Danio rerio: one gene and its partner. The protein of the gene in region 2 interacts with the protein of the main gene of each other region in a biochemical or structural test. Links are inferred from orthologs where the notes say so. Each region holds a gene or a part of one and is shown on either strand. Other genes may lie near its edges. The genes, in order: ocrl and cltcb.

Region 1 (3,829 bases), on a different chromosome or scaffold from region 2:
CCACATTATTCACTTCCAAAAGAAGACTATGTACGGTGCAGTGAAGTTTTGGATACTAAAAATATTTATGTGAAATGGCGAAAAAAAGAGTTTTGATATGCTTTTAAACACAAAAGTAGACATTTTGAAGAATGCTGGAAACCTGTAACCATTATACTTCATTAGGAAAACCAAATGCTATGTAAATGAATCGTTACAGGTTTACAACATTTTTCAAAGTATCTTTTTTGTGTTCAACAGAAGAAAGAAACTCATAAAGGTTTGAAAATCAAAGGGTGAGTAAATGACAATTAAATTTTTGTGTAAATAATTACGTTTTAAATCCACATTATTCCGTTCTAAAAGAAGACCACAGGATTTAGCTGGAACCTGCAAAAATAAGATGCTGTGAAGTTTTGGATACTGAAAATATTTATGTGAAATGGTGAAAAGAGTTTTGATATACTGTTGAACACAAATGAAGACTTTTTAAAGAATACTGAAAACCTGTAACCATTGACTTCATCAGCAGGAAAAAAAAACAAATGCTATGTAAATGAATGGATACAGGTTTCCAACATTTTTCAAAAATCTTTTTTTGTATTCAACAGAAGAAAGAAACTCATAACGGTTTGAAAATAAAATGGTGAGTAAATGATGACAATTTAATCTTTGGGGTAATTAAATATGCATTTTTCTGTTCCAAAAGAAGACCACAGGAATTAACTGGAACCTGCAAAAATATTATGCATTTGGATAGTTTTGGATACTGAAAATATTTATCTGAAATGGCAAAAATAAGTTTTGATATTCTGTTGAACACAATAGAAGATATTTTGAAGAATGCTGAAAACCTGTAATCATTGACTTTATCGGTAGGAAAACCCAGTGCTATGTCAATGAATTGTTGCAGGTTTCCAACTTTTTTCATTTCAATATATTTTTCCGTGTCCAACAGAAGAAGAAAAAATAAAGGTTTGAAAATCAAAGGGTGAGTAAAGGGAGACAATTTTTATTTTTGGGTGATTTATCCCCTTAAGCGTTGATGCTGAAATATTACTGAGGTAATGTTGAATGTCCAGTAATAGAGCAATGGCAGATGATAGAGCATGAATTTCTAGCCTAATATTTATGTTCTGCCTGTTCTTTTATCACTAGTTCACCTTTGAGAATGTGAAGTTCCGTCAGCTGCAGCGTCAGAGTTTTCTTATCACTAATGATGGACAAGTTGCTTGCACCTTCGCCTTTATTCCCAAACTCAATGACTCCCAATACTGTAAGCCCTGGTTACGTGCTGAGCCCTGTGAAGGGGTACTAGATCCTAGTAAGTATCTCATATGGCATTTTAACTCTTTATCTGTGTTATGACATTTTATTTGATGATTTTGTTAAATCATTTTTATATTTTTCGGTTTGATTCTTTTTTTTTGGGGGGTTTTGTAATAAAAAAAAAAAAGACCTGATTGGACAATTTACCTAATTGTGCAATAAAAAGGCACAGAAGTGTTTCAGAAGTAAATTTTCTCAGAGGTGGCAAATGCATTTCTCCAATCTTAACTGAATACTGTTATAGTAAAGCTGAGATTAGTCAAAGCAGCAATAATGTAGTCTGGCAACTTTACACAGTATTTTGAGCAAGAAATTGATGGCATTTTTTCTTTAATGCTTTAAAAAATTGCATGCCGACTTCTTATATACAGTAGAGAGGACATATCTGATTTATTCATGTGAAGACTGAGACCGTCCCATCATCCAGATTGACTCAAATATTCATGTTATCTGTACAGATGAGAAAATCGAGATCTTCTTGGAGGTGTATGTCAGTAAAGACTCAGTGACGCTTTTAAACTCTGGTGAAGACAACATTGAGGACATCCTGGTGCTTCATCTGGACAGAGGGAAAGACTACTTCATCACTGTCTCTGGAAACTACCTGCCCAGTTGTTTCGGCACATCTCTGGAGACTCTGTGCCGCATGAAGAAACCTATCCGTGAGATCCCCATCACCAAACTCATCGACCTGGTGAGGCCCATTCCACTGCTGGAGTCGCTTAGATTAGTAGCAGCTAATACAAAAGTAAAAGTGGTTTTATCAAATTTTTGTCTGTGGATGGAAGTGACAGATAATGGTGAGGAATTTTTCCTTGAGATTTTGCAAAAGAGAAGACTTTCCAGTTTTGCTAGAGAGAGAATGTTATAATTATATACAACTTGTTCAGTAGCATTCATGCATTCATCATGCAAACCACTCTGTTCATTTCATTCTTCACTCTATTCTCAAATTATGATTAGTTTTTCATTTTTTGGGTGAACTATCTCTTTCAGGGGTGGACAGATATATACTGACTTCCATTTTTGTTCTGAAAGCACTTTTTTTTTTTAAAAATGGCTTTATTTTGGCAGCTGAACCTCTAGAGAAAGACTATACGTGTCTTCACAGATTTCGTGGAAGGGGGGATCAATTTCAGTCTTAATTATATTCTCAAATGATATTTCTTTTTTCATTTGGGTGAACTATCCTTTAAACAGTATCCATATAGAGACCTCCATTTGTGTTCTGAAAGCACTTTTAATAGAATGTTTGGTTTCTCTTTGCAAAGAGAAAGACTGAACGTGTCTTTACTGATTTCATGGAAGAGGAGATTTATTTAATTCTTCACTATATTCTCAAATTATAATTCATATTTCATTTTTTGCGTGAACTATCCCTTTAAGTGGTAGCCAGATATAGACTGACTTCCATTATTCTTCTGAAAGCACTTTTAATAGAATCTTTGGCTTCATTTTGGCAACTTTGGAAATGTGTTTTCACTGATTTCATGAAAGGGAATGAGTCTTCACTCTTCACAATATTCACAAATTATAATTAGTTTGTAATTTTTTGTGTGAACTATCCCTTTAAATGGTAGCCAGATATAGACCTCCATTTGTTTCTGAAAGCACTTTTAATAGAATCTTTGGTTTCATTTTGCCAAAAAGAAAGACTAAATGTGCCTTTACTTATTTCATGGAAGGGGGATCAATTTCACTCCTTACTATATTCTCAAATTTTTAATTTTTTGCGTGAACTATCCCTTTGAATGGAAGCCAGATATAGACTGATTTCCATTTTTCTTCTGAAAGCACTTTTAATAGAATCTTTGGCTTCCTTTTGGCAGCTTTGGCAACGTGTCTTTACTGATTTCATGGAAGGGGAGTTCAATTTCACTCTTCGTTATATTCTCAAATTATAATTCATTTTACATTTTTTTTGCATGAACTATCCCTTTAAATGGTAGCAATATCTAGACCTTCATTTGTGTTCTGAAAGCACTTTTAATAGAATCTTTGGTTTCATTTTGCCAAAGAGAAAGACTAAACGTGTCTTCACTGATTTTATGGAAGTGTGGGATAAATTTTACTCTTCACTATATTCTCAAATTATGATTAGTTTTTCATTTTTTGAGGGAACTCTTTTAAATGGTAGCCATATATTGACCTCCATTTTTGTTCTAAAGACTAAACGCATCTTCACTGAGGGGATATCAATTTCACTCTTCACTCTATTCTCAAACTATGATTAGTTTTTAATTTAGAAAGTAATCGGTCTTCTTTTTAGTTATTTTCTCTTTCTGTCTATTTACTGATCGCCATGGGAAGCCAAAAGCCGCTTATCTATGATTATGCAAAACTCTTTTCACTGATTACGCAATGTCTCTCTGTTGTCTCCTTTTTTCTCCTACCTTTACTTCTTTCTTGCTCTGACCACTCCTTTTCAACCAATCAATATGGGTCTGCATGATTCTCAGGGAGAGGATAGCTGCATGGAAAAGGTAAAGTCCACCTTCATTTACAGAAAAGACTCATTAGG
Region 2 (3,829 bases):
AATGGCTTGTACCACAAAATGGCAGTTTGTTGTCACAAGTTGTTGTCACAAGTTTATTGTGGCCAGAGGAGACATGGTTATGCCTAGCTGAGACAGTTTTTTTCTTGCTCTGATTTGCTTGGCTAGGACTTGTGGAGCTGCACACCGGTAGAGTTGCACTTCAGTGTTTTCAGTGCTTTCAACAGTGACTTTTGCATCACACTGAACTTCAACTGTGACAACTAAACTGAAGCCATTTTAATTTACCAGAACTTCATCTATATTTTACATAATCTACATCAAAAAAGCACTATAGATAAAGATGAATTGAAATAAATATGAATTGAAAAAAAAAAGATCAATATTTTACACTGTGTGTATTCCATTCATGAAACTGTATTCTTATCTAATGATGAATCGCACATGCTCACAGGAAAAAAAGCAAATACATTTAAAGTCAGAATTATTAGCCCCCTTTGAATTTTTGTTGCTATTTTAATATTTCCCATATTATATTTAACATAGCAAGGAAATTTTTACAGTATGTCTGATAATGTTTTTTCTTCTGGAGAAAGTCTTTTTTTTTTTTCGGCTAATATAAAAGCAGTTATTAATTTTTTAAACAACATTTTAAGGACAAAATTATTACCCCCTTTAAGCTAACTTTTTTTTCGATAGTCTACAGAACAAACCATCATTATACAATAACTGCCTAATTATCAAAACCTGCCTAGTAAACCTAATTAGCCTAGTTAAGCCTTTAAAAGTCACTGTAAGCTGCATAAAAGTGTTTTGAAAAATATCTAGTAAAATATTTTTTACTGTCCTTATGGCAAAGATAAAAACAAATCAGTTATTGGAGATGAGTTATTAAAACTATGTTTAGAAATGTGTTGAAGAAATCTACTCTCTGTTGTACAGAAATTGGGGAAAAAATAAACAGGGGTTCTAATAATTCAGGGGGGCTAATAATTCAACTTCAACTGTACATGGCATTTCTACAAAGCATACTTCATGCTGCTTGTACTGTCGTTGCAATGCTGATAAAATAACATCTCTTGACTTTTTTACTATCAATAAAATTGTAATCTCAATTAAATGTGTAGGGTATTTTAAATCTGTACAATTTATGTTATTGGGTTAAATTAAAAAATGTGTCACAAAATATATTTTAAAAATGAAAAAATGGAAAATGGAAATGGAAAAGCATTTTCAGTTTATATATGATCAGCAAATTGTTAAACTCTTAAAACACTGCAGTGTTGCACCTGTTTCTTTTCTCCACCTCCGCCACAAGCTCATCAGTGGAGAACTGTCCTCTGACCACCAGAATGAGGTTCTTAATGACGTCCTCAGAGCAATCCACATCCAGTAGCCCTCCAATCACCACAGGCAAACGGCTGGGGTTGACCTGATAAAAACAGTCCATCATTATTCACTCTCCCATTAAGCTGAAATGTTGATGATGATTCCTCAAGCATTATCATAATCGCGCCTCAAGTACCTTCTGAACATAAATCTCAATGTACTTCTGGAGGTTGTTGCGGTACAAGTAGAGCACAAGGTCATGGACAAAATCAAAGCGGTCACACACAATGATGAGGGGCAGCTGGTCAGTCAGTTTTGCTTCCTGTGAAATATGAGGAAGATAAAATAAATAATTAAGCAACATTAAGGGTTTGTTAAAAGATAAAAAGTAAATTCAGGAGCTTATTGTGGTATCACACCTTGAGGAAGTTCTTCACTCGCTCAGGATCATAACAGTTGCTCTCCCTGCAGATTCTCTCCACCTCTTTGATTTGACCAGTCTTACAGGCAGCCTGAATGTATTTAAAGTGAACCTCTGGATCCTGGCTAAAGTTCACAATGGAGCCCAGGAAGTAAAACAGACCTGTAGAGAACAATCATATAATGTTCACGAGATCTTAATCATTTTCATGATTGGGTTCAATTCAAATAGTACATTTATAACGCTTTTGCTCTCAACATTAAAATATATTGTAGAAACATGATGCGCTTTAATTAAAATATATATTAAATAGATATTAAATAAACTAAAAAATACAATGAGAACTCTCATTTAGAGGGGTAGCAATCCTTCTGAAAATGTTCACTTTTTGTTCCAAACCTCTTTGAGCTTCTTTCTACACTTCAACACAAAGGAAGATACTCTGAAGAATGTTGGAAAAACAGCCATTGACTTTTATAGATTTATGCTCCTATTATGAAAACCAATGCCAGCTTTTTTCCAACATTCTTTAGAAAACCTTGTTTTGTGTTCAACAAAAGAAAGAAATACATAAAAGTTGTAAAAGTGTGAGTAAATAATGAGGATATTTTGAAATAGCCAAATATATAAAGCACTAGGTACCAGATTATATTTATAAAATATGTATTATATTATTTGTATAGTATTTCCATGTGTTAACCATTAAAATATACTTGGCTATTTGGTGGAAATTATGGTTTCCTAGGTGGAAATAACAGTTTCCTTAAGGTCAAGTCAGAGCAAATACACAAATATGGAGATCCACAAACACAGTTAAAAAAAGAGACATGATCCTTCAGGCAACACAACCCGGTCTCAATTTCAGTTCTGGTATACAAAACATTTTAGTATGGTTACCCTCAAAGCTCTTGAAGGACTCGAAGAGCTCTGTGAGGGACTGTGTGGAGAGCTGCTCGTGATACTTGGAGGCCACCTGGACACAGATCTGCAGGTTCTGCCGTATGTTGGCAGACAGCATGGCTCTCAAACACTCCATAGAGTCTTCAACCGAGAGAGAGCCAAAGAAATTCACCAGCCACTGCAACCAGAGCACAACACATCAGTGAAAGCTTTCACAAAATGTTTTTTGCAAAACAAGTGACAATGTCAACTTGCAAATAAAAAAACAGCAACTAAAATATTATTGTAGATGACAAATATCTAATACTGCAAGGTTGCTGCAAAAATAAAATCCTGAACCCAAAATACTGAATTTTATCGATGAAACACCAATAAAGCACAGACAGCCTTCAACGTTCAGAGTTTTGGTAAACTGGTAAATGGCTTTCACACTGAACGCACACTGCACTATAAAACCCATTTATTTCATTGGTTTGTGCCACAAAAAGGGCAGTTTGTCGTCAACTAGATTGCATGTGCGACGCAGTTAAAGTTCGTTTAGTCAGAGAAGAATTTGTCAAGCCCAGCTAAGCCTGGTTTCTTACTAGGTTTTTTCTCATCAATTGGTGAAGTACAGCACAAACCCCCAACAAAGTTTTGGCCAACTGGAGGACAGCTGACTAATAAAATAGCACTGAGTGCAGTAGCTGTATCAGACTGTGTGTTTTACCTCTGGGTTGAGCAGGTGTGTGTGGACCACCGCTCGTTTGATGTCATAAAGGTCAGTATAGTGCTCCAGAGCCCTCTGAAGAAGACCAGCCTTTTCACACAGCTGTGCCACATGAGCCCGATCATAGTGAGTGAACATCTGATTGCCCAGGATGGCATCTGCCACCTGAAAAAAAAAAAAAAAAAAAAAAAAAAAAAAACTAGCATGTTATGTACGGTACAAAACTTAAATATACTGAAATAATTAAAAACAAAATTATTAAATATAAACAAACACTGAAATCAAAACTGAAGTAATTAAAAATAACTTAAATATTTAACTAAACATTTAGATATATAATTATCACTCCTATTTTAATTCTTTAAAATATATTTTTTTGTGAATCGTTCACATTATTTACAGTTTTTCTCTCTAATTTATTTTAGTTTGGCTGGGATGGATTGTTTTATGTTTCAAAGACAATATTAATATCCCCTTCAGAATTTATTTTCTTGATTGGCTACAGAATTGTT

Evidence for each region.
Region 1: the proteins of cltcb (region 2) and ocrl form a complex in vitro, tested with the Homo sapiens proteins (2 studies listed by BioGRID and IntAct, with this or other methods). The link is inferred for Danio rerio from reciprocal best matches to the Homo sapiens genes CLTC and OCRL.

What each region holds. Positions count from the first base shown.
Region 1 is NC_133189.1:38,410,181-38,414,009, reverse strand, and holds part of ocrl (inositol polyphosphate 5-phosphatase OCRL), read left to right. Parts: intron 1-1,137; coding exon 1,138-1,303; intron 1,304-1,766; coding exon 1,767-2,002; intron 2,003-3,767; coding exon of another isoform or gene 3,768-3,791; intron 3,792-3,829. UniProt on the Homo sapiens protein: Catalyzes the hydrolysis of the 5-position phosphate of phosphatidylinositol 4,5-bisphosphate (PtdIns(4,5)P2) and phosphatidylinositol-3,4,5-bisphosphate (PtdIns(3,4,5)P3), with the greatest catalytic activity towards PtdIns(4,5)P2.
Region 2 is NC_133190.1:19,741,459-19,745,287, reverse strand, and holds part of cltcb (clathrin heavy chain 1), read right to left. Parts: intron 3,483-3,829; coding exon 3,318-3,482; intron 2,787-3,317; coding exon 2,606-2,786; intron 1,871-2,605; coding exon 1,707-1,870; intron 1,610-1,706; coding exon 1,484-1,609; intron 1,391-1,483; coding exon 1,248-1,390; intron 1-1,247. UniProt on the Homo sapiens protein: Clathrin is the major protein of the polyhedral coat of coated pits and vesicles. Two different adapter protein complexes link the clathrin lattice either to the plasma membrane or to the trans-Golgi network.